3 linked regions of the Tamandua tetradactyla genome follow. The protein of the gene in region 1 interacts with the protein of each later gene in a biochemical or structural test. Links are inferred from orthologs where the notes say so. Each region holds a gene or a part of one and is shown on either strand. Other genes may lie near its edges. The genes, in order: TRIM25, RIGI and ZC3HAV1.

Evidence for each region.
Region 2: of the proteins of TRIM25 (region 1) and RIGI, one has a biochemical effect on the other in vitro, tested with the Homo sapiens proteins (5 studies listed by BioGRID, with this or other methods). The link is inferred for Tamandua tetradactyla from reciprocal best matches to the Homo sapiens genes TRIM25 and RIGI.
Region 3: of the proteins of TRIM25 (region 1) and ZC3HAV1, one has a biochemical effect on the other in vitro, tested with the Homo sapiens proteins (2 studies listed by BioGRID). The link is inferred for Tamandua tetradactyla from reciprocal best matches to the Homo sapiens genes TRIM25 and ZC3HAV1.

The regions. Positions count from the first base shown.
Region 1 is NC_135332.1:37,907,826-37,919,108, reverse strand, and holds the start of TRIM25 (E3 ubiquitin/ISG15 ligase TRIM25), read left to right. Parts: upstream 1-6,341; 5' UTR 6,342-6,426; coding exon 6,427-7,023; intron 7,024-10,990; coding exon 10,991-11,086; intron 11,087-11,283.
Region 2 is NC_135328.1:63,389,014-63,399,740, forward strand, and holds the start of RIGI (antiviral innate immune response receptor RIG-I), read left to right. Parts: upstream 1-6,431; 5' UTR 6,432-6,899; coding exon 6,900-7,005; intron 7,006-10,727.
Region 3 is NC_135327.1:182,161,832-182,172,717, reverse strand, and holds the start of ZC3HAV1 (zinc finger CCCH-type antiviral protein 1), read left to right. Parts: upstream 1-6,513; 5' UTR 6,514-6,843; coding exon 6,844-7,151; intron 7,152-10,886.

The sequences.
Region 1 (11,283 bases):
ATTCTTCTTTCACCCAGAAGAAGTAAATGTGGGGTCAACTCCATTTATAGTAGGGTGTGGTCTGGGCCAGTTTGAGTAGCATGTCACTGGTGGACGTGGCTTTCCCCAGCATACCAACGAATGGTGTTCCATCAGAGTGAGAAATCTCTCTCTCCACATTCTGTGTGTAGTACTCTTTGCTGACATCTGCCTTTGGCATATCATCCTTAAAAGACAATCCCACATCCTGAGCCCAGATGAGTAGGCCATATTCTAGGTCCAAGAGGCATGTCTGGCAGACGGCCTTCAATTTGATGCAGGTTTGGCGGACTTAGGTCTTAAAATGCATGCGAACCCCAGGGCACCAGCAAAACACTGTGAATGGCCTGGCACAGATTTTGCATTCCTTCCCATATTTTCCTTTGGTCATTTGGATATACGGGTGTTCTCCAAGACACGTCTGGCACAGTATGGGGAAGTTGGTATCCTCCTGGTTCTGCCTGTTATAGGTATTGGATCTCAGAGAGGTCGCCATCTGGACAGCGTCTGGAGGCAGCGGTGGCTTTCTAGTTGGAAGAGAGGATGCCACAATACCATCAGGCTGAAATGCAACTCATTTTAAAAATTAATCTAAAACAGAATATTCAGGATGATAAACTCCTGGCTTCAAAAGTGATAAAACGCCCATTTTGTTTGATTGTTGGGTTACATGATTATTTGATGTTTTGAATTCTTAGAACATTATTCTTCCATAGTCCAATTAAGAGAATGGGTTGGTATGTAACTGTGTGGTTGTGAAAACCTTGTGTCTGATGCTCCTTTTATCCAGAGTATGGGCAGATGAGTAAAAAAAATATGAATAAAATATAAATAATTATTAGGCGGATGAGGGGTAAAATAAATTGGGTAGATTGAAATACTAGTGGTCAATAAGAGGGAGTGGTATAGGGTATGGGATGTGTGAGTTTTTTCTTTTTTCTTTTTATTTCTTTTTTTGGAGTGATGCAAATGTTCTGAAAATGATCATGGTGATGAATATACAACTATGTGATGATATTGTGAGCCACTGATTGTATGTCATATGTGGACCATATGTGTGTGAAGATTTGTCAATAATTTTTTTTTTAAAGAGAATGGGTTAGTAATCTACATATATATGAATTCTAGCTATCTAGCTTTAGAAGTTTTCATAAACAATACAAATGATACACTCACCTGATAATACAAATCTGTCTGGAAATTTCCGTAAATGTGTTACATTTTCTTTACAGTTATAAATTTCCCTCTCAACACTGCCTTTGGTGCAGACTATAAGTTTGGTATGTTGTGTTTACATTTTCATTTGTCTCAAGATATTTCCTAATTTCCCTTGTGATTTCTTCTTTCACCCATTGGTTGTGTTTAATTTCCACAGATTTGTTAATTTTCCAGATTTTCCTCCATTATTCATTTCTAGCTTCATTCCATTGTCAGATAAGATACATTGTGCATTTCAACGATTTTTAACTTATTGCAATTTTTTTCTTTTTTAGTAAAGTTGTGGGTTTATAGAATAATCATGCATAAAATACCACCCTATTATTAATAACTTGCTTTGGTGTTGTTACAATTGTTGATTGCCATGAAAAGGAATAAAGTTATGATACATAATACAACATAGATAAACCTTGAAAACTTACAGTAAGTGAAAGAAGTCAGCTATGAAATATTACATATTTTGTGTAAAATGTTCTTAATAGGCAAATCGAGAGAAACTGAAAATAGATTAGTGTTTTGTCAGGGGGTTGGGGAGAGGGAGGAATGTGGAGTGACTACTAATGGGTATAAAGTTCCTTTCTTGGGATAATGAAATGTTCTGGAATTCAATAATAGTGATATGTGCACAGCCTTTTGACTACATTAAAACCTACTGAATTTTTTTGTACACCTTGAAAGGTTGAATTTTATGATATGTGAATTATATCTCAATTAAAAATAATTTAAAAAGGATAATATTAAAATATAGCAAGCAACTTAATAGCAATAAAGTCATTAGCATAGAGGAAATTGACAAATGCCTTAAAAACACAACTTACCAAAAACTGATACAAGCAGTAATAAAAATTTAAATTAGTCTTCTATCAGCTAAAGAAATTGAATTAGTGATTAAAAACCTTCCCATAAAGAAAATTCTAGATTCCTATGGTTTTACTAGTGAATTCTGTCAAACGCTTAAGAAAGTAATAATATCAGTTTTACACAAGGTATTTCAGAAAATAAAGAAGGAACTGTTCCCAATTCCTTTTTATGATGGTAACTTGACACTCATAGCAAAATCTGACAAGGACATTTAAAAAAAGAAAATTACAGTCAGCATCTCTCATGAACATAGATACAAAAATCCTTAACAAAATGTTAGGATATCAAATGCAGCGATATATAATAAATGATGACACAGCATGAGCAAAGGGATTTATTCCAGGAATGCATAGTTGGTTTAAGGTTCAAACATCAATCTGTATAATTCACCATATTAACCAAATAAAGAAGTCAAAACATAATCAGCATTGTTTAGAAAAGTATTTGCTGAATGAATGAGAGTGCCTCAATAAAAATGATCATAGTCCTTACTATGGAAAAAGTAAGGACTTTGTTGGACCTCTTTATACTTATTTTATTAAGAATAGATTCCCCCCCACTGTGTTTGTGTATGACAGCAAGGGTCACATACGACAACCTTTTTAGTATACAGAGAGTCTCAAAGTCAGGATTTTAGGATCATTTCTGTCTCTAGACCTTTCTAGCCTTCTTTCAAATGGGTACAACAATCAGTGTCCTTCATGAGGGGTTGAGTGCTAGAGGGTTGGGTGTTGGAACCACCCTCACAATCTCACGAGCATTGCACTGGTAGAAATAATAGGCTTAATCAAAATATATTTGTAGGCAAATGAAGTTAATTACTCCACCTAGTTCTCCCAACCTACAGGGGCAAAATGTCATCTGGTTAAGCCAGCCAGTCATCTGCTGGGACATCCAACTTCTTTGTGACCAGCTGGGATCATGTTTGACTTGAGGAGCTGCTCTACTGGTGTGACGACTCACAAACACACCCTCCAGCTCAGGAGAGCCATCTGGAGAGCCCATTACAAGGGTTCGCATTGACGCTGTCCCATTCTCACCGGTGTTAGTATGCTTCGTGTGTGTTTCATTTTGGTTCCACAAAAAGAAAGAAAGGTATTATTACAGGGCTCCCCATTTTGCAGATGAGGAATCCATGTCCCTAGGCAAAATCGACCTCTTGCCATATTCCCACTCCTGATTTGTCTTCTCCATGTATGAGAAGGCAGGTCGACATGTAACTCACATCTTAGTCCTTCAGCACTCAGTACAATGCCTGTTGCATAGTGGGCCTAAGTAAACACATACTGCACCGAAGTTGATAAACATAAAGTATGTTCCTCCTCATCTCCGCTGTCTAATCAGCCCTTCTCAGCCTTTCAGCCTGGTAAGACAATTCTACAGGTATTCCAGCATGAGTCACCAGGCCACCTCACCCGGGAAAGCTAGTCACATGGAATTTTATCGTGTTTCTTTCCTGGAAACTGCTCCCATATCTCCCTTTGGGAACATTTTATACCAGAAAAGGATTGGCTTTTGAAATCAGATCATCCATGGTCTTAGGCAAGTTATTTAGTCTCGCTAGGTCTCAGTTTTCTCATCTGTTAATAGGAGATAATTTATATCCATCTCACCTCAGAGATTTGTTGTGAGAATTAATTGAGATAGAATGAATAAATCTTAATTTCTTGCCTCCCTCATCCTTCTTCTGTTTTCCTCCACCCATATAAAAACAAATCAAAAGAAAACAAAAAAACAATATGAAAGAGAATGAGTGGGGTAAAGGGTTCTGGGGGAATAGAAGTCTGCGGGACAAGAATTAGAGGAAACAGGAGTTACTGTTGATTAGGCAGTTCTGAGCTAGAATCCCAGTCCTGCTTTCTATAATGTAGGTGACCTTCATCTTTAAGATGGACATAATATCTGCTCTCAGGGTTTATAAGGATTATAAGAGATAATATATGTAACTTGTCAAGCACACAGCCAATGCCCATAAATGGTGCAATTACCAAGGCATTTACCGTTTTCTCATTTTTACTGCCCACCTGGTGTCCAATCCAAACTCCAATAACGCATCCCAAGACACTCTTCCACTTGGCCAACACTCCATCCCCTTTCTCGAACACTTTTAGCCTCCTGTTCACCCACTATTATTTTTGGCTGTTGTGTCCTTTATTTCTCTCTCTTTAAATACATTTTTTTAATTTAAAAAGTTGCAGTTTTACAGAAAAATCATGCAGAAAATACAGAGTTCCCATATAACCCTTTATTATTTAACACTTTGCATTAGCGGGTACCTTTGTCACCACTGATGAAACAATATTATAATTGTACTGTTAACTATAGTTCATAGTTTGTATTAGAATTCACTGTTGAACAGTCCTATGTATTGTTTTTAAAATTTTTTAATCCTAGTTACATATATACAACCTAAAATTTTCCCGTTTTAACCACATTCAAATAAATATTTAAGTGGTATTAATTACAGTCACAATGTTGTGCTAACATTACCACTATCCATTGCCAAAACTTTCCCATCATCCTGACTAGAAATCCTGTGCAATTTAAGCATTAAGTCCCCATTCCCTACCCTGACCTTGACCACTGGTAACCTGTATTCTAGTGACTGACTCTATGAATTTGTTTATTCTTATTATTTCATATCGGTGAGCTCATACAATGTTTCTTCTTCTGTGTCTGGCTTATTTCCAGAATGTCATTTCAACATGACATTCAAGCTTTATCCATATTGTCACATGCCTCAAAACATCACTCCTTTTTATGGCTGAATAATATTCCACTATATTATATTAATATGCCACATTTTATTTATCCATTCATCAGTTGATGGACACTTGTGTTACTTCTGTCTTTTGGCAATCAGGAATAATGCTGTTATGAGCATTGGCATGCAAATATCTACTTGAGTTCCCAGTTTCAATTAGTTTGGATATATACCTAGAAATGAAACTGCCAGTAAATTGAGTTGTGTTTTTAAGTTTTATTTTTCTTTGTATATTTTGGAAATTAAACCCTTATTGCATATGTGCTTTCCAAATATGTCCTCCTAGTCTATAAGTTGTCCTTTTACTTTCATGATGAAGACTTTTGATGCACAAAAGTTTTAAATTTGATGAAATCCTTTTATCTGTTTTTTCTTTTGTTGCTTGTGCTTTGGGTGTAAAGCCTACGAAACCATTACTTAACTCCATTTTCTTCTAGGAGTTTTATTATTTTGGTTCTTATACTTAGATCTTAGATCCACTTTGAATTGTTTTGGATATGGAGTGAGGTAGAGGGCCACCTTCCTTTCTTTGCATATGGATATCCGGTTTTCCCAGCACCATTCATAACAGTCTATTCCTGCCCAATTGAACTGATTTGGCATCCTTGACAAAAATCACTTGGCTATAGATGTGCCTCTGCTGATACACTTTTCTTGTAGGCAGGACCAGAAGGGGGAGAAAGAGCTAAAAATATTAAAGGAAAGAAATCTAAATGAACCATTTAGAAAAAAATATCCAAACTCCAATACTGTATTCATTGTGCGTGGAAACCTTTGTTAATCTGGGTGTGTCCAAACCTCATGAAAGTAGAAATGGGAATTTTTAAATTATGTTAGATGGGTGGAATGGAAAGAAAGCTTCAAGTTCGGGTCTGGATTATGATAAGACCATGGGCTCCAGCCTTCAAGGATCAACGCCCTTCTGCCAGAACCCAGGAACAGGGAAGACAGAGGATTAAAAAAAAGAAAAAAGGGCAGTGTCCTTTATCCTTAACTGTTCCCACAATTGTTACTTTCAAAAGGCCTTTCCTGATAACTAGATCAGCCCTGTTGGCCGTGGCGGCGGAGGCATCTTGGATGGGCTCCTCGGGAGATGACTTGCTCCAGGAGCAAGTTTGTGCGGAAGCCGGACAGGACCCCGGTGGCTGTTACTCTCGGGTGCGCGACACTCCACTCCGCCTGTCCGTTTCCTCATCCGCAAACGTCCCGGGGGTCGCGAGCACGATCTGAAACCCCTGGCCCCAAGCGCCGAGCCCAGCGCGCCGCGCCCTCTCCGCAGGAGCCGTCGGGGCCCCTCACGTCGCCGACCGCCGTCTGGCAGCGCCAGCTGGTCTGAGGCGCCAACCCGCCGCGCCCCCCCGCGGCGCGCCCCTCCCCCGCGCGCCCCCCCCGCGGCGCGCCCCTCCCCACGGGCCGCCCCCCCCCGCGCCCCCACGTGACTTCCTGGAAGGCCGCGGTCCCGCCCCGAAAGCTGCTCAGTTTCGTTTCCTCGGCGGCCTCCGGGCGATAGTGCAGGAGCCGCGGCTACCGAACCAGCACGTCCCGACCCGTCCCCCAGGAGCGCCATGGCGGAGCTGTGCCCTCTGGCCGAGGAGCTGTCGTGCTCCATCTGCCTGGAGCCCTTCAAGGTGCCGGTCACTACCCCGTGTGGCCACAACTTCTGCACGTCGTGCCTGGACGAGACGTGGTCGGTCCAGGGCGCGCCGTTCAAGTGTCCCCAGTGCCGCGCGGTCTACCGGACGCGGCCGCAGCTGCAGAAGAACACGGTATTGTGCGCCGTGGTGGAGCAGTTCCTGCAGGTCGAGCTGGCCCGGGAGGAGGCCACCGACGGCTGGACGCCGCCGTCCCGTCCTGTGGAGCCCAGCTCGTCCAGCCCGGTGGCCTGCGACCACTGTCTGAAGGCCACTGCCGCCAAGACGTGCCTCGTGTGCATGGCTTCCTTCTGCGAGGAGCACCTGCAGCCGCACCTTGACAGCCCCGTCTTCCGGGACCACCAGCTGCAGCCGCCCATCCGGGACCTGCTGCGTCGCAAGTGTCCCCAGCACAACCGGCTGCGGGACTTCTTTTGCCCAGAACACGGCGAGTGCATCTGCCACATCTGCCTGGTGGAACACAAAGCCTGCTCGCCTGCGCCCCTGAGCCAGGCCAGCGCCGACCTGGAGGTAGGGGGAGTGGGTGAGGGGCAGAGGGACAGGCTAGAGCCAGCTGGGTTGTGCAGATGGCCAGGCTGGTGGCATCCCTGCCATCCCCTGGGTTCCCCGGGGGAACTGATCTTCTGGGCCTGAGGCAGGACCAGTCACAGTGTCAGAGTAGAAAGAAGCTGGGACATCATCCAGCCCTCCCCCATCATCCAACCTTCTGCCATCATCTGTCCCCATCCACCCACCCATTTTACGGAGGAGACAGCTGAGGACACAAGTGAGGTCTCTTGCCTAGAGCTTCGTATGGTATTTAGTGAGCATTTTGAACATCAAATATGAGCTCCCGGAGTTTCCTCCAGCATCTAGGAGATCTCTTATTATTTCTACTTTACAGTTGAGGAAACTGAAGTCCAGTAAGTTAATGTAGTCTCAGAAAATACAGTAACTGGTTGAGAAAGCAATGGCACCCAGGTTGCTTTGCGCAATTTGCAGTTTCCCTCCATGAACCAGCCCCATGTCTAGGTCTGTTCATACCTGGAGGCTTGAGGTCATGTAAGCCAAAGCCTTTGGTGAATCAGAGAGTTCTGTTGACCAGGGAGGGTAAGTTATTAGAGGATGGGGGGGAGACAGGGGGCAGAGCCCCAGGAATTCCTAGATATGACCACAGGGAGAGCCGACTGCTGTGTCATGGTGTGCTCTGTCCTGGCTGGATAACTTGGAGCACAGGATTTGGCCTCCGAGTCTGGATCCTTACTGGGTAAACAAGGAGACAAAACTGGATTCCTAAGGGGCCTCGCAGGTCTGTGGTCTTTAATGATTGGGAGTGCGGGTCGGGGGAGTGGGTGGACACAGGCAGAGGCTGGGAAAACGTTATCAAGCCACCTTGAGTAGCGTACCACCCTGGCCTCCAAAGATGGCCTCATTGCATTTCATTCTCATAGTACTGTTGGACAGAACAAGGACTGTTCTCGCCTTGTCGGAGGAAACATGAGGCCTGGGTAAGGTCAGGGGGAGATCTGTGGTGGCGCCAGAACCAGTGTCCAGGCCTCCCTGCTTCAGGCCACAGCCCTTCCCTGGCCATGTCTGCATCCAGGCCTGAGCTAGGTGCGTCTGCGCTCTGTCCTGACTCTAGACCTCAAGGCGCTTCCTGCAAGTGGACCTCCTCTGAGATGCCACCATCCTAGGAACCACTGCCTGAGTCAGGGCCTGTCACAGGAGAGAACCTGCCCAGCTTTTGGAGCCCTGCTCTGGCACGGTTTTGGGCAAGTCATTACTGTTCTCAGAGCCGAGGCTCCCTTGGCTGTCCGGTGGACTGATAGTATTCTCTCCCCACCTCACTGGGTGTCGGGAGGCTCCGGAGAGGTGAGTTGCATAGAAGGTGCTTTGTCTACAGGCCCCTGTGTCAGACCATGTGGCTGGTTTACGTGGCTTGGGCCAGAGCTGGGCGTTGAGAGATCTGGGTTTGAATCCTGGCTGCTCTTCTTAGCTAGGAAGTCATAACATGAGGATTAAATAAGGCGACCCATAAACCAGTGTTTCATAGTAAAATCTCTGTTGAGAGCTGTCTTATCATTTGGCCTAGGGAGAGAAGAGCAGCCCCCTGGGGTCAGACCATCTGGATCTTCTTTGCTTCAGGGTGCACGGGCCTGCGGGCGAGGCATGGGGCAGCCTGGCATTTGCAGAGAGGCTCTCCTAGAAGTTCCTGCCCCTGGAGGCAGAAGACAGCAGGGATAGGCCATGCTTCCTCAGCCTGGCTGGGAGCCACAGCTCTCATTTAGCCTCCAAGCTGGAGTCTGCTTCTAGTTTATTAGGTTCTGTACGTGCTTTTAATCCTTAGAACAGGCCTTCCTTGGCCCTCTCCTTCCCCACCCCTCGCCCCAATTGCCCTGGCTTACTGGGCTCTTTAATCGGTCTGCTTTTTTGAGCTCTGCTGCCACTCACTGCTGAATGTAGGGCACCCTGGCCTTGTGCGACTGGCTTGTCTCAGCTACTGGTGCAGGTGGACTCAGGACTTTGGTGACTGTCTTGGAGAACACAAGTGCCCGGGGGTCAGTCTGTGAAGGGACCTCAGAACTTCAGAGGGTTCTCTCCCCTTGATTAGGGGACTGTTGCCGCTGGTCAGAGCCACTGGGTCACTGTCCTTTTGTCTGGAGACATGTGGGTCTCTGGCCACAATCAAAGGACTGCCATGCGTGTTGATTAATGGCGGTAAAATCTTTCAAATACAGGGTTCACAGGTACAGTACTGAAAGTACCCTTGGAAATAAAATACGTGGCAGCCCCTAGGATTTGAAGTCTCTTCAATCCCCAGAACCCCATGAGGCTCCATCTGCTTGGGCTTGGACTTCTGCTCTTGGCCTACACCCTATCTCGGACACTGTTAGAGGCCAGGTCAAAGAGCATTGTCACAGAGGTCAAGCCTGAAACATCACTGGTGACTTGCGCTCTTGGGGTCCAGTTAGCTTGGCTTCGGTCCCTACTCCCAGCCCTTCCGTGTGACTCTCACTGGGTTATTCAAATCTAGGTTGAGGGTCAAGCTCAACTCCCAATAAACATGGGTGGAGTAGAAGAGTCAGGAGAGGGGAGGGCAGGACCAGAGTGTGTTGAGCCAGCTAATTAGGGGAAGTAAAAATTGTTTTCTAGAAATTTCCAGTGTGCTCAGCTTTAGCACATGCCTGTGATTGTAATACCTTGATCTAAACGGTACCAGTTAATAGCAGTGTGACCTTGAGCAGGTCACTTAATAGCTCTGTGCCTTAGTGTCCTCATCTGTAAAATGGGGGTAATGAGTCCTTACTTCCTCAAGTAATGAGTTCTTAGCTTTAAGTCAATGCATGGAAAGCACTGGAGTGGTGTCTGACATCTAGTAAATACATAATAAATGTTACTATGGCGGTTTTCCTTCTCATTTTCGCACCCCAGCATTACCTGTGAGCAGAGAGGCAGGATAATCAGTAATCAGATATTGATTTTGAAACATTATTGAAATCATATCTTCCTTCACAGTTTCCTTTTGTTTCCGGAGATGGCTAGGGGCCAAATGATTCTGAGTACCTTAATTCAGTTTCGGGGATTGAGTCTGTTTGCAGCTTGGCTGCAGCTCCTGCGGGCTGGTCTACTGCTAGTCCATTCTTATTCCTAAGGGGAGCCCTTGGTGGTCCCAGCCTGGGGGGTTACTAGGTGAGCCATGGACTCTGATTGTTGTCCCTCTGGTTCCTGGAGACTGTCAGGGGCTCCAATCAGCCGTCTTGGAGTTGGCCGATGCCCCTGGGGAGAACATTCCCAGGTGCTAGGCTATGTCTCTGGATTTCTTTCTCCTAGATCTTGACTCCATGACCTTTTTCTGCCTTGTTAGCTCTCCAGTGCCTTTAAGGAGGCTTTTGTTTGTTTGCTTTTTTTTTTCTGATATCTTACCTGCAGTTTGGGTCCTGTGCAGTGGGAGGGGTGGCCCGAATGACTTCACCTCTATTATGGAAGCAGCTGTCCAGTGCCTTCTGTCTCTGTGTGAACTCAGTCCCCGGGCTGTCCTCACTTCAGTGTTGACAGCTGTAAATGGGTAACAGTGAAGAGACTCTAAGAGTCCAAGCTGACATCAAGCCTGTCCTTTTCAAGATCCAGGCATAATGCCGAAAACTTATATTATTTCATTTACTCATTCCAGAACAGCCCTGGGAACTGGGGAATGTTGTTATCCGTCTTTGGTGGACATGGAAGCTGAGATGAGAGAATGTTGCACAGCCGGGAACTGGGATTTGAACCCTGGTCTGTCCGGCTCCAAATCCTGGACTCTGAGCGACTTGACTGTGCCCCCAACTGGATGAAGGGAGACAGTGAACATGGGAATGCTTTGGAAAGCTAAAAGCAGATGAGAGCTGGGGTGGAAGAATCACCTGTTGGGGAATGGGTTTGATTCAGGGGGCGTGGCCCTGTTGTCGGGCGCTGGGGCGAGGCGGGGCTGCGCTCTCACCCGGCTTGGTTTTCTCCACAGACCAAGCTGAAGAATAAACTGACCGTCATGTGTGGTCACATCAACGGCGCATCCAGAGCGCTGGATGACGTGCAAGCCAGGCAGCAGGATGTGCGGGTGAGTGCCAGCTGTCAGTGCCAGCTGTGGGCCTCGCCGGCCTCCAGGCGGAACAGGCTGGCTCCGGCCTTGAGAAGGCTGGTGTAGGCTTCACTTGCCAGTGTCAGGATTAAACTGACCAGTGTACAAAAAGTCACGTACCCCTGAGAGATCTCTTGCAACCTCAAATTGAAAAGTATCTAAAAGCCCAGAACAGG
Region 2 (10,727 bases), on another chromosome or scaffold:
TTCTGGAGGACCTCTGTTGTTGCTCAGATGTGACCTCAGTTTCTCTAAGCCCAACTCTGCAAGTGAAATCATTGCCTTCCTCCCTACATGGGCCATGACATCCAGGGGTGAAAGTGTCCCTGGCAGCGTGGGAGATGACTCCCAGGGATGAATCCAGACCTGGCACCATGGAATCAACAATTCCATCCTGACCAACAGGGGAAAAAGAAGTATAATTTTTATTATATTTATATATATATAAGGTAGAAGATGACTTCATATAGAGTCAAGAGGCTACTCTGGAGGTTGCTGTTATGCCAGCTTCAGGTAGACCTTGCTACCTATCATAACCTGCCAACCCCCCAACCAGGACCATTCCAGCCAATCCTTAAGAATACCTAGGGCAATATAGGATTCCACAAGGGTTCTAGGCACTAGCGTAACTTTCCAGAAAACTACAACCTCCAGATGGGTCCCTGGTGCAGATAAGTCCTGAAACCTAGCCCAGCCTCTCCAGAACATCATATAGTTTCATCTCCCTACCCCATAATAGTGACATATCCTTCCAATATCAAAAATTTAGAATTGCCATAGCCCAAACACCCCTAAACATAGGGATGGAAAGATCAACGGTGATGGTGGAGTTATACATAGAAGATAGGATTTAACAAATGAATATGAATGCTGAATCATGAAATTGATGTCTCTTTTAGTCTTCAGTGTTTTAGAGCAGCTAGAAGTGGAAACTTAGAGTTGTGTCATTATAACCAATCTATGTCAAAGTCTGAAATATGTTCTACAACTAATTGTGGTGCTATGCTTTGAAATTTATAGCTGTTTTGTATATATGTTATTTTTCACAAAAAAAGAAGGAAAGAAAGTTGATTGCGATGATGAAAAAGCCTCCTATAATCTGGGGCAGCTAGAAGGAAAAATATGAAAGGATCGTATGGTAGCCCATGACAACTCTGGGATCTGTCCTGTAACCACTTGTTGAAGAGTGCTTTGAAAACTATTGCTTTTTTATTTCTTTGCTTTTATGTTATCTATACAATAAAAAAATTTTTTAAAAACCCCAGAAATATTGAAAGATAAAAAAAGATATACTATGCAAACAGTAAGCCAAGAAAGTTAGTACGGCTATAGTAATATGGGATGAAGTAGATTTTGATTTGCTAATAAGAAATATGGAAAGATTAAAAACAGACATTTCATAATGGTAAAAGACATAAATTGTCAGGAAGAGATAACAGTCATAAATGTGTTTACCTAAAAACAGGGACCCAAAATATATGAAGCAAAACTGATAGAACTAACAGGGCAAATCAATACTAATAGTTTGAAATTTTAAATACCCTCTCATTATTTGATAGAACAAGTAGACACATAATTAGTAAGGCTATAGAAAACTTGACGATACTATATATCAACCTGATATCATTAACATTTATAGAATACTATACCTGAGAATGGCAGAATACACATACTTTTTTAAAAATGCAACTTTATTGTGATATTTATTCACATACCATATAATCATCCAAATTGTACAATCAGTGGTACACTCTATCATCATATAGGTGGACATTCATCATCACAATTGATTTTTGAACATTTTCATTACTCCATAAACAATAACAAATGAATAAAAGTAAAAAAGAACACCCAAAATATCCCGTATTTCCCCTCCCCCCATTATTTATTTATTTATTTTTGTCTTTTTTTTTTTTTCCTTACTCATCTGTCCATACACTGGATAATGGGAATATCAGTCACAAGGCTCTCACAATCATATCGTCACACCTTAAAAGCTCTATGGTTATTTAATCATCTTCAAGAGTCAAGGCTATTGATTATAATTCAGCAGTTTCAGGTATTTTCCTTTAGCTACTCCAATATACCACAAACTGAAAAGGGATATTTATATACTGTGTAAGAATAACTTCCAGAATGATCTCTCAAGAGATTTGAAATCTCTGAGCCACTGAAACTTTATTTTGTTTCATTTCTCTTCCCCCTTTTGGTCAAGAACCCTTTCTCAATCCCAGGATGCCAGGGCCAGGCTCATATCCTGGAATCATGTCCCAAATTGCCAGGGAGATTTATACCCGTGGGAGTCATGTCCCACATAGGAGGAGGGTAGTGAACTCACCTGCAGAGTTGGCTTAGAGAGAGTGGCCACATATGAGCAACAAAAGAGGTTGTCTGTGGTGACTCTTAGGTATAATCATAAGTAGGCTTAGCTTCTCCTTTGCAGGAATACATCGCATAAGGACAAGCCCCAAGATCAAGAACCTGGCCCATCAAACTTGTAGTCCCCAACTATTACAAAATTATCAGATCTTCCCCAGTTGGGGAATTTTAATGTTTCCACTTTTTTCCCCAGTCCCTTAGGAAAACTTTGCAAATAGTTTTTAATCTTCCGCCCTAATTACTCTGGGAGGTACAGGGGCATCACAGCAACCTGTACAAACCAACACCATCTCACTTCTTATTCAAGGTTCCATGTAATTATGCTGTTAGAATAAGTTGACCAAACAAGTTAGATTAGATAGTGTGCTGCAGAAAATATAAATTTTGCACCAAATAAACATCTCTTTCTTTGGTTTCACACAGAAGTTAAAGTTTTAAAATATAGTCAATATCATCCTTTACCCTTTAGTCTGCTTTACCTCAGTGCTACCCACATTAGCCTCATTCATATTTCTAATTGAAGTCTGATCACTTTTTCAGCTTTCTTAACAGCTGCTGTATGGGGTAATGCTGATTTTCATAGCTGCAGAACTCCAGCTCTGAGTCTCAGGTGTCACGCAAGTACCAAAATTCCAGGGAATGGCCAGGTTATACATATATAGCTAAGCATATCAGAATTTAGAAATAACAGTTGGAATAGATGTGACTGCTGTAAGAGCTTACAATCTAAGACCTTTATGTTCTAGTTTGCTAGCTGCTGGAATGTGATATACCAGAAACGGAATGGCTTTTTAAAAAGGGAACTTATTAAGTTGCAAGTTTACAGCTCTAAAGCTGTGAAAATATCCAAATTAAAGCAAGGCTATAGAAATGTCCAACCTAAGGCATCCAGGGAAAGACACCTTGGTTAAAGAAGGCCGATGATGTTCAAGGTTTCTCTCTCAACTGGAAGGCACATGGAGAACATGGTGACATATGATAGCTTTCTCTCCAGGCTTCTTTTTTGATGAAGCTCCCCAAGGGGTGTTTTCCTTCTTCATCTCCAAAGGTCTCTAGCAGCATGGGTTCTCATGGTTCTGCTCTGAAGCTTTCTCCAAAATGTTTCCTCTTTTAAAGGATTCCAATAAACTAGTCAAGACTCCCCTGGAATGGGTGGGAGTCACATCTTCTAATCAAAAGTTAATACCCATAATTGGGCATGTCACATCTCTGTGGAGATAATTTAATGAAGTTTCCAACCTACAGCACTGAATAGGGATTAGAAGAAATGGTTGCTCCACAAGATGGATTAGGATTAAAACATGGCTTATCTAGGGTCCATAATCCTTTCAAACCAGCACACTTCACAATAGTCCTTCACCTGATAATCTATGTTTTGTATTTAAATCTGAGTTGGACCTTATAATTAGTCTATATTAGTGTGGCATGATAATATTTGTCTTTTTGTTCCTGGCTTATTTCATTCCACAAATTGTCCTCAAGGTTCATTTACCTAGTCGCATGCCTCATAACTTCATTCCTTCTTGCAGCTGCTCAATAGTCCATTGTAACACATACTCTTTTTAAGGGTGCCTAGAATGTATAACAAGATAGTACTTATGCTGGGCCATAAGTACTTTGACTAAAATAGATTAAATAGAAAAATTCCCAATTATTTGAAAAATGAATAGCATATTTCAAAATAACCAATACATCGAAGACAGGGATATTAGAAGCCACTTCAAATGGGATGAAAATATAACATATCAAAATGTATGCAATGTTACTGTAAGGGAAATTTATCACCTCAAATAGTTATATTGGAAGAGAAAGATATATAAAGTCAGTGATCTAAGCTTCCACCTAAAGAAACTAGAAAAAGAAGAGCAAATTAAGCCTAAAAGAAGTAGGAGAAAGTAACTGATAATAAGAGCAGAAGTCAATGAAATAGAGAGTAGAATAACAGTAAAGAAAACAACCAAAATCAAAGATTGGTTCTTTGAAAAGATGAATAAAATGAGTAAATCCCTGGCAAGACTGATTAAGAAAAAAAGGTAAAAAGATAATAAGGAATATCATGAACAATTTTATGCCAATAAATTTGACAATTTACGTGAAATAGTCAAAATCCTTGAAAAACACAATTTACCAAAATTGATTCAAGATGAAATAAAAAATCAGAATAGCCTTATATTTATCAAAGAAATTGAATATGTTATAAAGAATCATCCAACAAAGAAAATTCCAGGCCCAAATGGTATCACTGGTGAATTCTGTTCAGCATTTAAAGAAATGATACCAATGAAATCCAGCATATTAACAGATATGCTGTTAATATGAATGAAATCCAGCATATTATATATATATATATATATATATATATATATATATATAATCACTTCAACAGAGGTGGAAAAAACATTTGAAGCACCCATTCATGATAAAAACTCACAACAAACCAGGAATAAAAGAAAACTTCATCAGTGTGATAAAGGGCATCTCAGAAAAACCTACAATTAACATCATGATAAAGGGAAAATGCTAATCTTTTTCTCCTGACAGTGGTAATAAGGTAAGGGCATTAACTTTTTATTTATTTATTTTTAAATTAATTTTTAAATAAAAAAATACCAAAAAACACCAAATAAACACAAACATTCATAACTTTTGATCATTCCGTTCTACATATATAATCAGTAATTCACAATATCATCACATAGTTGCATATTTATCATCATGATCATTTCTTGGAATATTTGCATCTATTCAGAAAAAGAAATAAAAAGAAAACAGGAAAAAATTCATACATACCATACCCCCCACCCCTCACCCTCACCGATCACCAGCATTTCAATCTAAATTTATTTTAACATCTGTTCCCCCTATTATTCATCTTCAACTTTTACCATTTTTATTCAACCTACCTTCTACTGGAAACTCTAGGCAGTGTAATAAGGAAAGGAAATTAAATAAAAGGCATAAAGACTGGAAAAGAAGAAGTAAAATTGTGTTTACAAATGATATGACTATTGATTCAGGAAATCCTAAGGAATCTACAGAAGAACTAACGAGTGAGCATAGCAATATCGCAAGGTAAAAGGCCAATACACAAAAATCACTTGTATTTCCATATACTAAAAATAAACAATTTGAAAGTGGAACTTAAAAAAATTTCCATTTACAGTAGCATCAAACAACATAAAGCAAGAATAAATTTAACAGGATATGTATGTATAAAACCCATACTCTGAAAAACTAAAATATTGCTGACAGAAGTTAAAGAAGACCTAAGTAAATGGAAAGACATATTTTCACGTATTGGAAGACTCAATATTTTTAATATATCAATTCTTCCTAAATTTATCTATAGATTGAATGTAATCCTGGTCAAAATCCTAATGGGTTTTTTTTTCTTGGTAAAAATGGAAACTCAAAGAATAAAAAATAGAGTCTTTAAAAAAAAAATAACAAAGTTGGAGGATTCACATTACCTGACTCCGAGACTTACATGAAACCTATCATAATAAAAAGACCTGCTTTATTTGTATGAAGATCAACTAAAAGATTAATGGACCAGAATAGAGCCAGAAATGTCCTACACATGTTCAGTGAATTAATTTTTTGGCAGAGGTGCCAAGGTCATTAAATGGGGAAAGATAAGTTTCCTCAACAAATGGTGCTGGAATGACTGGATAAAAGTTTGGAAAAAATGAACCTTGAGCCCTGCTTTATACGTCACACAAGTTTAATTTGAAATGTTCAGAGACCCAACCTTACGGGTTGAAAATATAAAAATTCTAAAAGAAAACACAGAGTAAACAAAGAAAACGCTAATAAATTAAATGGGATTTTATAAAAATAAACTTCTGCTCATCAAGACACCTTTAAGAAAATGACATGTCAAGCCACAGACTAGAAGATATTTGGAATACAATATTTAACAATGAGCTTGTATCCAGAATAAATAATTAACTCCTGTAAATCCACAATAAAAAAAAAAAACGGGCAAAAGATTTGGCAAGATGCTTCACAAACGAAGACACGAATGGCTCATAAGCACATGCACATGTGCCCAACATCCTCAATCATATGGGAAATTAAAATTAAGCCACGACGATATACCACTTCACATCCACCAAGATAGCTAAAAATTAAAAAAAGAAGGCTGACCGAAGGTGAAGATGTATATCATCTGGAGCTCACTTGTACTGCTGGTGAGAATGCAAAATGGCACAGCCATTTTGGGAAACAAGCGGCAGTTCCTTATTCAGTTAAACACAGACTTCCCCCACCCAACTTCGGGAAATGGCATCTATTTTTCAAGTCAGCGAACTGTCCACTTAAGACCTACAAATTTTAACTGCATTTAAACCCTACCGCTATTAAGAAGGCGAGTAATAAGAGAAATAAATTAAAAAAAAAACTTTTCTAGGGGTCCTCTTCGAACTCGAAGAGTTCGGATCATCGAACTTGCTGGGGTTGGCAAAGGAGGAAGCAAGTGTGAGAAAACGAAACTGCGCGGACTGGACCCGCAACTCCAAGGCAGCTGATCCCTGTGCTTCCTGCCCTCCCCCAACCGGCCGCTAGTTGCAGTTTCGATTTTTCTTCGAGACTTCAGATTTCCTCATTGCTCCGCCCCTCAGCGCTGGGTCTATCTCTTGGAAAATCCCACCTTGGATCGCTGCGCTCTGCGCTTCCTCGACCTCCATCTGGGCGTTAAGCGAAGTTTCGGAAGCTGGGACGCAGGCATGACGGCCGAGGTGCGGCGGAATCTGGACTTTGTAAGGCACTACGTTAGGAAAATTCTGGACCCTACCTACATCCTGAGCTACATGGCTCCCTGGTTTAAGGAAGGTGAGTGGTCCGCAGCGGTGCTCCCTCGCCTAGGTCCCCATAGCCCTCGAGTGCCTCTCAGGAGCTTGAGCCTCGAGGACGGTTTTCAGAAGTTGTTTTTTCCCTTGTTTGTTTTCTTTCTTTCTTTTAATCGATTCAATTGTCTGCTTGAAACGCTAGGCTTGGGGCAAGATTTTCACGGCATTTTAGACCAGAGACGGTCAGTTTAGGGAAATTGAAGCCCAGCAGGGTGAAATCACATTTCTATTTACGTTCAAAACTGGGGAAAGAAATCGCTGTTTCATTTATTTATAATAGTTTTTAGGTAACTAATTTCTAATATTTCTAAGTAACCAAGTTACCTCTATCGTGGGATCTATGTTGTGCCAGCTTCAGAGATCCAGAAATGAGATAAGAGGCCCTCCCTTAAAAGATTTTATAGCTCAAGGTTTGGGGGAAGGGGCGACGACATATCTACAGAAATGATTACATTATCACTGTACAAAATTCTTTGTCAGAGATCAAAGGTCGTTGTTGCTCACTCTGCGGGGTCTAATTTGCAGTTCCAAGTTCCAAGTAGCCGGAAGCTTGAAAAGAGCAAGACTCTCCCTGAGTCTTAGTTCAGACTCAGAGATTTTTCCATCTGGTTTCTGAGGCATATGATGATGCATAATGGCCATTCTGTAAATATGTATTAAACTACTTTGTGCTGGAGATGAGAGAGGCTTCCTGGAGAGGAGGGTAAGTGAGGCAGTACCTTGAAAGAGCCGAGATGAGAAGAGAGTTCTGGGAATTCCTTTTCAGCCTGCAATTAACTAAATATCTTTACTGATGTTAGACAGTTTTTGAAGTTGCATTAAAGCAGACAGGCAACTTGGGTGCTAATTGCTATGCAGAAACCACACCACAGATTGTGGAATGAGGACTGAAGGAATACCACCAAAAAAGTGGACATCAGCTTTCTAGTTGTGCCCTGAGGGAAGTAATGAAATGGCATCCTAATAAGTAGAGTAGCTTGGACCCCTGAAAAATATAAGTCCATGCAGGACATCTCTTTTGGACCCTTGGAATGAATGAAACGACACATTTTACATTCAAAGATACAAATAGATGAAAGCAAAAGGACAGAAAAATATATATCATGCCAACAGCAGAGACAAGAAAGCTATAGTGGTCATTGTAGTATCAGCAAATAGACTTTAAAATAAAAAAAAATTAGGAGAGATAATGTGGAGGGAGTTACTACAATTGTGCATTGTTGGAACACAGGTTCTGGGCACAATAGAAACTTACAGTAAATAATCCCTTTATTGTACAGAATAGAGTCTAGAAAGGGCAAACTCTTTGTCACTTACATAATCTAAATGAGCAGGGGAAGAGGTCCCATCACGGCCAGTCTCCTGAGGTGGCCGAAAACTGCTCCAGGTTGGGGTCAATTGATGCAGCTCAGTATGCCCCACTTTGTGCTGGAGAAGAGAGACAAGTCTATATGTTTGAGTGTGGTTTTTATCTAACTTGCAGGTGAGGGGGCCCTGCCACTGAGAATTTCTGGGACTGCTTGTTCCCATGGTTTTCTATGTTTAAGGTTTGGCAGGGCCTTTTCATTAGAATTAACATCTCTTCCAGGTCAGCTAGATCTAACAGACACTATTGATGTAAATAGAATATGCATTCTTCTCAAGTGCACATGGAATATTCTTTAGGATAGGCCATATATTAGGCCAGAAAACAAAAACCTCAATAAATTTAAAAGGATAGAAAGAATATGTATACAGTATGTTCTCCTACCACAGTGGAATGACATTAGAAATTGTTCTAGTTTGCTAGCTGCCAGAATGCAATACACCAGAAACAGAATGGCTTTTAAAAGGGGTGATTTAATGAGTTGCTAGTTTACAGTTCTAAGGCCGAGAAAATGTCCCAATTACAACAAGGCTATAGTAATGTCCAATCAAAGGCATCCAGGGGAAGATACCTTGGTTCAAGAAGGCCGATGAAGTTCAGGGTTTCTCTCTCAAGTGAGATGGCACATGGCAAACACAGTCAGGGCTTCTCTCTCCGCTGGAAGGGCACATGGCAAATACGGCATCATCTGCTAGCTTTTCTCTCCTGGCTTCCTATTTCATGAAGCTCCCTGGGAGGCATTTTCCTTCTTCATCTCCAAAGGTCACTGGCTGGTGGACTCTCTGCTTCGTGGTACTGCAGCATTCTCTGCCCTCTCTGAGTCTCTCTGAATCTCCAAAATGTTTCCTCTTTTATAGGACTTCAGAAACTAATCAAGACCCACTCAAATGGGTGGAGACATGTCATCCCCTAATCCAGTTTAACAACCATTCTTAACTAAATCACATCAACCAGGGAGATGACCTCATTACAGTTTCAAATATACAGTACTGAATAGGGATTATTCTACTTTTAAGAAATGAGATTTATATTAAAACATGGCTTTTCTTAGGGGGCATACTTCCTTTCAAACCAGCACAGAAATCAATAACATATTTTGGAAAGTTTAAGATGTGTGGGAATTAAACAACATACTCCTGAATAACCAATGGATCAAAGAAGAAATCAAAAGAAAAACTGGAATGAATGAAACACTAACAGACTTTTGTGACTCCCATTCTTTCATGCACTCGAGTATTGATTCAGTATACATTGATTCAATTAAATAAGCATCTGAGATATGCCAGTCATAGTGCTAGTATTTGGAGGCAATTTACTAAGCACATGTTATTTAATATGAAGCATTGTGTTAGAAACAGAGGAATCAACGGTGAGTGCAATAGAAATGTTCCTTAGCCTAAGAGAGATTGGAATTCATAAGTGAGGACAGTTAACTAAATACACAATAAGTAATAAAATGTGTTAAATTCTCTCATGGGAAACCATAGGGTGCTGTGGGAGCACATAGATGGGACATCTACCTGTTCTGAAGGGGTCAGAGAAAGCTTCATAGATCTGTGACTTTTTTTTTTTTTTTTTTTTTTTTTTTTAGAGAGAGGGAGGAAGGGAAGGAAAGACAGAGAGAAGGAAGGAAGGATGGAAGGAAGGAAGGGAGGAAGAAAGGGAGACATCTTTAAACATTTTCTTGTTTTATTATATTTTGTTTGTTTGTTTGTTTCTTACATGGGCTGGGGCCGGGAATCGAACCGGGGTCCTCCGGCATAGCAGGCAAGCACTCTTGCCCGCTGAGCCACCGCGGCCCAGATCTGTGACATTTTAACTGAGGTTGAAAGTAGGAGAGAAAACTAGCTGGAAAAAAACTGAAAGGAAATATATTAGTTTCCTAGCTACTAAAAAAAATACCATACAGTGGGCTGGCTTAAATGATGGGAATTAACTGGCTCACAGTTTTGAGGCTAGAGGAAGTCCAAACTTGAGGCACCAGCAAGGCAGTGCTGTTACTGGACAAAGGTGGTGGATTCTTTTGCCTGATGAGCTCAATCTCAATTCCTGAGATACTGGGGTTTCAAAGAGAGAAAAAGTGTATTATGAAGCATGTAGTAGGAAAGCAGATGGCCGTTTGGCCCAAAATCTGTTTCACTGAACTACAGAAATTCTGATGGTTTTATAGCAAAGAAGACAAGCAGAGGGGCCCTGGATGATGTAATAAGAGTTGATCTAATTATTGAGTATATATAGACTGATTACATGCTTAGTCACAGAACGTATGTAAGAAAATGGTGGAAATGAAGAATAGGTGACTCACAGGTTAAAGTCTAAGCTGTTGCGCATGTCAGATG
Region 3 (10,886 bases), on another chromosome or scaffold:
CAAGGCCATCTACTAAGTCCATTAGTAAAAGAATGGATAAACAAAATGTGATATATCCATACAATGCAGTATTATTTAGCTATAAAAAGGAATGAAGTCCTGATATATGCTACTCCGTGGATGCACCTTTAAAAACACCGTGCTAAGTGAGATCATACATATTGTATGATTCCATCTGTATGAAATGTCCAGAATAGGCAAATCTATAGAGACATACAGTAGATAACTGATTGCAGTTGCTGAGGTAGAGGACATCGAGGACTGAGGGAAGGGGGTGACAGCTAAAGGATAGAAGATTTCTCTTTGGGGTGATGAAAATGTTCTGAAATTTGATAGTGGTTGATAGTTGCAAAGCTATGAATATAATAAAAACCATTGAATTGTACACTTTAAGTGGGTGAATTGCCTGTTATGTGAATTGTATCTCAAAAAAGTGATAATAACCCACAATTTCTGGCTTAAAGAACTCAACATTATCATCTTCCACAATTTCTGTGGAGTGGCTTAGCTGCATGGTTCTACTCTCCGGTGGTTGCAGTTAAACTGTTGGTTGGGGCTGCAGTGATTCAGAAGGCTTGGCTAGGGGCTGGAGGATCCACTTCCAACATGGCTCACCCACATGCCTGGCAAATTAGCACTGGCTGTTGGCAAGAGGTCTTAGTTACTTGCCACGTGGACTTCTCCATAGGGCTGCTTGAGTGTTCCTCCCAGCATAACAGTAGGCTTCCTCAGAGTGAACAATGTAAGAGTAGACAAAGAGGAAGCTGCCATTGCTTTATGACCTAGCTTTGTAAGCCACACACATTTCTGTAATATCCTATTGATTACACAGGTCTGATCTATTTATTGTGAGAAGGGACAACACAGGATGTAAATATCAGGAGGCAAGACTCACTGGAGGCCATAAGGCTACCATATCAGCTATCTTCACCAAACTGATCCCTCCTCTGTTTTACTCCATGTCCATTGCCTCTGCTCTCAGACCAGTGTTATTGGAAGGTTTGTGGTCTGAAGTTCATTTGAGCACCATCAAAGCAATGTCTATAAATTTATCCACGAAGAAGGATATGCCCCTTCTCTACACTAAAGATTACTCCTTCACCTACACCTGCAAGTCCATCCTTTACCAATTCAGTTCCTCCTAGGGAAACTTGCTTGTTGTATAGATTCCATTTAGGGAAAACTCCTGTAACCACTCCCTAACCTCTGCCTTCCTTTTACTGTTTGACCATTTGACTAATGCCACTTTTGATTCCCATAGCTCCTGTGGAATACACATAGTTGCTATGGACTTTATGCATTCCATCTGACTCACCTTCTGATGTTTATACAGTTTTAATTACTAGACTTAGCACAGGTGACCTAACTGCCTTGTGTAGGCTTTGCTTTCCTCTCTGATAGGTGGTGCCAAATCATATAGCCTGATAGCATACTAACGTACCCTTTCGCTTCAGGTTTGCATGCTCCCCTGATTTATTTCTTTAAAACCTTCACATATGGCAGGATCTTCCAGTGAAACAACAAAAATCAACAAGGAACAAACAATCAAAATTCTCTGTCTAGTACCTAGATAATTTTTTCCTTTTTTTCCTTACCCTTTCCTTTCTCCCCCCTCCCTTTTCTTTTCTGTCAATGTTCTAAAATTAGTGATTGTCTTAGTTTCCTAGGGCTAGCATAACAAAGTATTACAAACGTGGTGACTTAAAACTACGGAAATTTATTCTCTTACAGTTCTGAAGGCTAGAGGTCCAAAGGCAAGTCTGTGTCACGCTCTCTCCAATGGTTCTATGGAAGAATCCTTCTTTGCCTCTTTGTAGCTTCATGTGGTGCCCAGAAATCCTTTATGTTCCATGGCTTGTAGCTGTATAACTTAAGTTTCTACCTTGTCTTCGTCCTGTCTGTCTCTGTTTCTTCTCCTCTTATAAGTACACCATCAAAATGGATTAGAGGCCTACCTTATTCCAATATGAACTCATCTTAACATAACTAATCACATTTGCAATAACTGTATTTCCAAATAAGGACACATTTTGAGATACCTGGGGTTAGGACTTCAACATATATGTATATATATTTTGGATGCTGTATGGTGTGGGTCATATTTCATTCTTTTTCCATATGACTATCCATTATTGCAGCACCATTTGTTGAATTATTTGTTTATTTAGGGAAGTTGCATGAGCCGGGAGCTGAACCCGGATCTCCTGCATGGCAGGCAAGAATTCTACCACTGAACTACCCTTGCATCCATAGAAAGGATCATTTTATTTCTTTACTATGGATTCTGAATTCCAACCTTATCATTCTAAGAAAACTGCTGGTTTATCAAGTGAGCTGGAATCTAAGACTGAGAAAGGAGACTTTATTGACTTAGGGACGCTCCCTCATGATACAAGATTTAACATTCTGACAAGGATGAAGGGATGGTGCAAATCTTGGAAAAGTGATGGTTCATAAGGAGTGAAGTTGGAATGCCGTAGTTGCCATGGCAGACAGTAGAGGAAAGGATTAAAAGACTCAGAAAAGTGGACATGATGGAATATCATGTTAGGCCAGAAGACCCAACAGAGGATTGATACTGATAGCGTCAATCCTGAAGCATCTTCATGGCTCCCCTGTTAAAGTGGGGCAAGTGAAGTCTTGACCAAGGTCCAGTGGGATCCACCAGACATATCCACTTACTTCATCTCTCCAGAAGCTACTGGATAAATTGTTGGAGTGGCTTGTGTCTTAGCTTGCTAAGTTGCTGGAATGCAATATACCAGAAATGGAATGGCTTTTAAGAAGTGAATTTAGCAAGTCACCAGTTTACAGTTCTAATGCTGAAAAATGTCCAAACTAAAGCATCCAGAGAAAAATACCTTGCTTAATAGGAAGGATGATCTGGGAAGGCATGTAGGTGGCATCTGCGGGTCCTTGTTCCCGGTTCTGTTACTTCCAGCTTCTGATGCCAGTGATGTCCTCTCTAAACATCTATAGGCCTTCACATAGCTGCTCCGGGACAAAACTCTAAGGGTTTCAGCACTTAGCTTAACGTCTTCTGGGGTTGGAGATTTCATCTCTTCAGGTTCTAGCTATTTTGGTGAGTCCTTGCTTAGCACGTGGGCCATTTTTGTCTCAATCTCCAAATGTCTACATTTGCTCAGCTCTGAGGTATCTTCAAAATGTTGCCCCTTTTAAAGGACTCCAGTAAACTAATTAAGACCAACCTTGAATGGGCGGAGTTATATCTCCATCTAATCAAAATGTCACACCCACAGTTGGGACCATCACAGCTCCATGGAGATAATCTAATCAAAAGTTTCCACCCTACAGTATTGAATTAAGATTAAAAGAAACGGCTGTCCCCACAAGATTGGATCAGGATTAAAACATGGCTTTTCTGGGGTACATAATAGCTTCAAATAGCATGGCCTGTTAAAGATGAAGCTGAAGCGCGAGCTGGAGGCAATATACTGCAATGATGACATGTTCTCCAGGCTTTGGTATATGCATTAAATCAGAGAACTTAATATGGTGCTGCAGCCCCAGTGGGTTTGGAAACAGAGTAGAAGCAAGAGTAGCTCCACTTTCCATCATTCCCAGTGACACAGTGGGTTTCCTGATGCCTACAATCTGGGCTCTGCAGGTTTAGAGGTTCTGGTCCCCAAAAGGGACATACTCTTGCCTGGGGACAGAGCAAACGTCCCATTCGCCTACAAGCTCTGGCTGCCATCAGGCACTTTGGACTCTGATGTTAGAGACTAGCAGGTAAGAAAAGGAATGGCCATCTTATTACCAACAAATGCATAATTTTCTGCCTGATATACACAAATGACAATTCCTGAGACAATGGGTTTCAAAGGGAGAAAAAGTTTATTGCCAAGAGTGAAACAAGAACAGATGGCTTATGGGCTTAAAATCTGTCTCCCCAAACTGTAGTAACTGAGAATTCTATAATATCAAAAGATGGGCAGGTTTTAGGATATTGAGTATAATGCCTTGAGAAGATGAAGTTAGAGATGATCTAATTATTGAGCATGCACAGGTTGATTAAATGCCTAGTTACAGAACATATGTAATAAATTGGCGGCTTTAACAGGATGATGATGGGCGTGATTTTTAGTATTATAATGAGGTATAGGTCACTTACAGGTTAAGGTTCAGGCTACTACATGTCAGGAAGGCCAATTTTGGTTAGATCTAGCTTTGTCTAGTAAGACAGCTTAGGAATTGGGGTGGGTCAGTTATGGGCTGACTCATGTTCCTTCATTAATAAACATTAAGGTGCTGTCTAGGGATCACAAGACGTTAAAAGTTGTAAAACAGGATTAGGGGATACAAACTGGGCCAGTCATGCGTTTGCACAGGATTTTTGCAATCATAAGGTAAAGATATAATCATTATTATCTGGGTTATAGTTCAGTGAGTTTCAGAAAGTTCAGGTATTTACTTTCGGTTATTCTACAATACACTAGAAAGGAAAAGGGCATCTATATAATGCTTCAGTAATCATAATCATTTGTTAACTCTTAATTGCTTGGTGACAATTTTATCAGAGGTAATTGACCCTCATCAGGAGTTGGAAGTGGGGCTGCTCTTACTCAATGGGGCAGGTGTTTCCTGGTACTCTTTTGCCCAACTGTGACTGTCAATGGACAAGAGCACCAGTCCTGGCCGGTGAAGGGAATAAGTACCGAGAATAAGCACCAGGTGCGCAGACCCCGCAGGAATGAGGATTTGATGGACCCAACCAGTTAAGCCACTGAGACCAGGTGAGGTGGTAGCCAAGGGTGAGGATTAGAATGGCTAGCGGAGGAGAGATAGAATGAGAACCTACTATGGCCTTGAGGCCAACAGCGGTGACAGGGGTTACAGTTCATTCATCTTCTAAGTTTCCTTTTATGAAGAGAGGCCCATCCGAGTTCCCTGAACATGGATGGAGAAATAGTTCCACATGCTACAAAAAGTGGACTATACAGACAAGATGTGTCACTCAGTTCTCCCTAGAAGACAGGATTTGCTGTCCAGTTGTGAGGAACGTATTTAACATTTAACTGAAAGCCTCCAGCTTTAACTCTTTCAGGATCTGCCCCAAAAATCAAGCTAAAGTCACATACTTTTTCTGGTGGCCCCTGCCAATGCCTGGTACAAAGGCCTAGCCAATTCTGTTCCAGAGCTTCCCCTCGCTCTGGCAGAGACTTTGTCAGGTCTGCAAAGCAGTCTGACAGCTCCCACGGACCAATCCTGCTCCTTCTCTTGTCTTTCACTGGACAGAATATCTTTTGCACTCCTACCTCTGGGTCAGTATCTGCTTTCTAGAGAATCCAATTGTGACAGCATTTGTTTTTAAACTTCCCCAAATATCTTTTTTTCCCTTTTCATACCCTTAAAGCATTTATGTCTCCAAACTGAGGGGAATGTTATCTCTCTATTCCCAACCACTCTAACCAAACTGGACTTATCATTTTCTAATCTCCTCAATAACCACTGCAACATTTAATCAATGCTTTTCTTATATTTTTAATGTTCTTTTCAAGCCTTCCCACACATAAGCTCCTTAAGTGAAGGGACTATTTCTTAAAGTTACACATTTTCAGAATGACTAACTAATGTAAGGGCCACATAAAAGATACTCAATAAATATGTTAAATTTAATTGATTTGGCAATGAAAGCCCAGTACCTGAGAACCTGTCAAACCACAATTATGGCCAAGTGGATGAAAGACAAGTGTGGAAGCAGTAGCCAGAAGGCACAGGAAATCAGATGGCACAGACCTGCAGTTCTGTGTGAATCCCACCATTGTTTTTTTTTTTTATCCCATTAGCGATTTCGAAGAATTTCTAATTTGGTAACCACATTCTATTTTTTTTTTTTAAAGATTTATTTCCTATCTGATAAATGCCCAATTTATTCTACCTGAAGGGGAAGGTCTTGTCGAAATATCTAAAAGGGGGACACAGATTTGAAATCTTGGGATGTGTACCTGTGATTTCTTGTGAAGAAGAAGCAATGTCTGGGGCATCTCTGTTAGTGATTATAGGCAGAAAAGAAGGGGTCTAAAAGAGTTTCTTCAAAAAGTTTGTGGGAAAACAAAAACGGAGAGTCATAATCGCTGTTCTTTAAGGGGTCATCGTGATGGAAGAAAAGTGCGCGTTGGTCCTGGATTCCGCGGACCTCGATCTGGTACACGGCGGCCAGATTTTGGGAACCTCGGGGGGCACCCGCATTCCAGCTTGGTAGTGGTGCACCTCTGCTCAAGTTACTTTCTCAATTACTGAGTGATGATGATAATATCGACTCCGTGGAGCCTTGTAAATTCCACGAAACTTAGAAAACTAAAATACACCAGGAGAGCGCCCAGCTCGGAGGAAGTACTCTAGGGTCGGTTCTTTCCAAGGATGGGTGAGGTAGGAGATTTCGAGAGGACTCCTCAAGAGGGCTCTCAAGACTCGCGTCACTTGCCACTTAGTCTGACTTATAAAAACGCTCCCAGAGCCCAGAGATAATTTTTAGTTTCTCTTCTTTCCGAAAAAGCCCCGCGGCGATTATCTGGGAAACCCCATCTTCGCCTAGTTTAGAACCAAGAGTTCTCCGCGCTTGTTCACTTTCCAGGTTTTCCCATCGGCGTTAGAGTTCAAATCTGACACAAGGACTAGAGGGTGATATCTGGCTTCTCCGTCTAAGAGCCGAGTTGGAAACCGAAACCGATGGGTTTAGCTAACGGAGGAAGAGAGCGCGCGCTCGCCCTGGGCGCGTCCAGCGGAGCACCGCCCGCTCCCGTCCCCGCCCCGCGGACACTTGTAAGTTTCGATTCTACGCAAGCTGAGTTCGTCGCACTCGGCTAGGCCAGGCAGCGCGCCATGGCGGACCCCGAGGTGTGCTGTTTCATCACCAAAATCCTGTGCGCTCATGGGGGTCGCATGGCCCTGGACAAGCTGCTTGAGGAAATCGCGCTGTCCGAGGCGCAACTCTGCGAGGTGCTGGAGGTGGCCGGGCCCGACCGCTTCGTGGTGTTGGAGACTGGCGGCAAGGCCGAGGTCAGCCGGTCGGTGGTGGCCACCACTCGAGCCCGGGTCTGCCGTCGTAAGTTCTGCAACAGACCCTGCGAAAACCTGCACCTCTGCAAGCTCAACCTGCTAGGCCGGTGCAGCTATTCTTATGTGGATCGGTGAGTGCACAGAAAAAGGGGAGGCACCCCCTCGGCTGTGGTGGGGAAAGATGGTCGGGGCTGCTGCTTCGGGAGGGGCGCCCCTCACCGGGTTCCCTCACCCGACAGCATCTTTCTCCAGCCTCTTATTTCTTTGCTCCCTTTGGAGAGCCCCTGCTTCTAACCCTGGCGGTCCCCATCCCCCTGGTGCCTCAAGATCTTTCCTCGAATATGGCTAACGCCACACTGCCCAAGCGGAGACTGCGTTTACCCATCCCCATAAGAATAAAGTGCTTTTTGGGCAAGCCGATCCTGGTGATGTTGAAGGCAGGTTTGGGAATGAAGAAAAATGCCTTTGTTCTCTGGATTCTTCAGTCCTTCTCTTTCCGCTACCTTCGATCCTAGAATTGTTGGCGGGGTTCCCGGCACCAAAGCCGCACTCGGGGTTCTCCATCGGACTCCATCGCAGCGAGCGGCTGGTCTCTGCTTGACCCTCCAATCTTGGTTGTCTCCGTACCTCCCAGTATCACTTCTCTACAGTCTGGCTCCAGTCCACACCATCTGACCCTCCTTTAGGTTACCTGTAATAAAGTCCCTGAGCACTTTCCCGCTTGTGTCTTTGCAGTGGCCCGCCCGGGACCACTGACTTAAAATGGTCGTTTAAAATGGTACAGCTTACTGCTTAGGAGCTACTTCTGTGTCTCCACTTGCTCTTTTCTGCTCTCTCAATATAGGTGCGCCCCAAGGTTTGGGTTGAGCCTTTTGATTAGATTATCTCGCAAGTTTCCCACTAAAAGAGCTCACTCGTTGGCTCAGCTACCTGAGCTACAAAGATGGCTTCCCAGCATACACCCCCTGCTCAGGCTTGCCTACTGAGTTCATATCTTCATATCTCAGTGTCTCGGGAACAGCAGTCTCCGAGTACACTTGGTTAAACTCATGGTCTTTCCCCCAGACAGGGTTTTTGACACTCCCTTCCACCTTTTCTTCATATTTTTCCCTCTTCGCAATTCATTCGCTCTTTCTGTGAAGTCTCACATACCTATCTCCTGTCCAGTTCCTCTTTTCCATCGCACTTCCCAGTGCATTCATTATTGAATTAAATTGACGGTCTCAGTAGCCACAGTGGTTTCCCCCATCTGTTCTGCCTCTGTTTACTTCTGTACATGGCATGTACCTGATATGGCATGTCTTACAGTATTGCCCTCCTTAAAGACCTTAAGTGGTGACTTGTCTAAAATGGTGGCCATCTAACTGATCCCATACTTCTTATTAGCAAAAAACTTTAGATCACTCACCTTCTGATATATGTGTAATATAAATGTAGAGAAGACACATGCTTTAAATGGATGAGACGGATAATATTTTTTAAAAAGGTATTTGTTTATAGCAAAAAACCTTTTTGCCCATTCTAAAATTTAAAAAAGGTGTTTGAATAAGAGTGCTTATTTTAAAAATATTTGTTTAGTACCTTGTGAGGTAACTATTTGAACGCCTCTTTCTGAGATCCTGAAGATACGTGTGACTTACAGAGGAAGTCATCTGAGTCGGGGGTGGAAGAAACCACTGAGGAAAGAAGGAAAGACTGGAGAATAGAAAAGGAAACACTATATATTCTAGCACTGTATTGAATAGCAGTGGGATTAGAAGATTATCTTTTTTCTGTTAAAGTGAATGATGAGAAATTCCTTACCAGCTAATGGTGGCTTTTACTTTTAAATACATATGCTTTTATCTTTTGACTATTTAGTATAGATATTTTCAATGTACACAAAAGTAGAGAAGAGAGTATGATGAACCCCCCAGCCATCCTTTGATTTCAAAAGTTTTCAAAATATGGCCGATCTTGTTTCATTTATTCTCTCTTCTCATCCCTGCTCTTCACTCCAATGAATTATTTTAAAGCAAATCCCAGGCATCATTGCATTCATAAATAATGAATACCTCTAAAAGTTACACGCTTTTATTAAAATAACTACTATCCAATTTTCATTTATAAGGTTACAATAATTCCTTAATGTCATCTAATATCCAGTTGGCATTAAAATTTCCCTGATTATTTTATAAATCAGACTTGCATTTTCAGGGAAAAAAACATAAGCAGGTACAGTCCTTAATTGTTGCAATATTACACACAATAATATATTTGGACAACTTAGTTTGGTTTTATGAATTTTATTATGGTGTTGTTTTTTGCCTGGTTTGAAACCTCAAAACCATTTTTAGCTCACAAATTGAGTTGTTAACCTGAAATTATAATTTTAAGATATATAATATAGGGACTGTTTGTGCAAATTTGAGTGCATACTCTAGAGATTCATTAAACTTTTTTTTTTGGTAGTGTGGTAAATAACTGGTCATATTTTTCATTTCATATTACATCAATTTTGAATTTAGATATTGCACCTTTTTTTTTTTTATCCATTACTGTATATGGTATTCTCATAATGAGAACTTCTGGGAAAATTTACTTGTTTGGTCCTCAAACCCTAGAAAATATGGTTTTTTCCCAAATATGTTTTAAAATATTTCCCCTTCTCAGCAATTTATGAAACTTCATCTCATAAAACTTGGCTTGTGGGGTGAGCCACAGTGGCTCAGCAGGTAAGAATGCTTGCCTGCCATGCCAGAGGACCCAGGTTTGATTCCCGGTGCCTGCCCATGTAAAAAAAAAAAGAAAGAAAGAAACAACACTTGGCATGTGTAACAAAAGGACTTTGTGGATTATTGGTTAATGTAATCTGTTGACCTGTTGATAATCAAGTTGAAATTGCCTTTTAGTTCAAGAAAACCTTCTCTGTGTACCTGGTGACAGTTTGCATCTTTTTTTGGACTTATAAAATTTCCTCTGTAGGGCTGTTATTTATAGGTGGGGTTTCTATTATCTGTCCTGCTTTTAGCTATACATTTTAATTGAGAATAGGACTTGATTCTGTGTTGGGTAATTATTTGTTTTGGTGGATAAATTCTGATATTTCTATTTGCTTTGCTGAAATGTATGCCCCCACACAGAATTCTAAGCCCAGTTCTGACATAAACAGTAACTCCCATTTATTGAACAAATAACTATGTACCAAGCACTATGATAAGCACTTCACAGACGGTATACAAGTAAGTCTTTACCCTAGCATCTGAGGTAGGTATCGTAAACTCCATTTTGAGGTAAAGAAATGCAGGCCCAGTGATGTTTAGAAATTTATCAAAGGTCACATACTTAGTTGCTGGCAGGATCAGAGTTTGAACCTAGATCTGGATAACTTCTTAACCAGTATTTGCCTTGTCAAGTAGCTGTATGAAGTGTGATATTTCATTAATTTAAGTTATTTTTTGCAAACGTGATTTCTTTTTAAGTTTTGAAAGCAGGCTTTCTGAGTGTTTTCATCTCGCTTTGTGGTTTCTGCCAATGTGGGTGTTCCCTCTGGGCTCTTTCCTGTTTGTATGCTTTTCCGTTTTGGTTAATTGAAACTTTGGGTGGGGGTGGGTAGGTGGGAAGCATTAACTTTTTCATAAATTGAAAGAAAAACCCACACCAAAAAGCCCAAAGAATAATATAACAGGCATCAGAGAACTCATCTCCCAGAATGAAAACGTATTTATAATGTTCATTTTTGTTTCTTGTCTTTTAAAATAAAACTAAAAAATCATAGCAAGCTTAAAGTGTGGTGTTTTCTTTTTCCTCTTTCCCAGACCCATTTCCTTCCTACTCGAGGAGCAGCTTCAGTCGTGCTTTTGTTGTGTATTCTGCCTATCCATGTT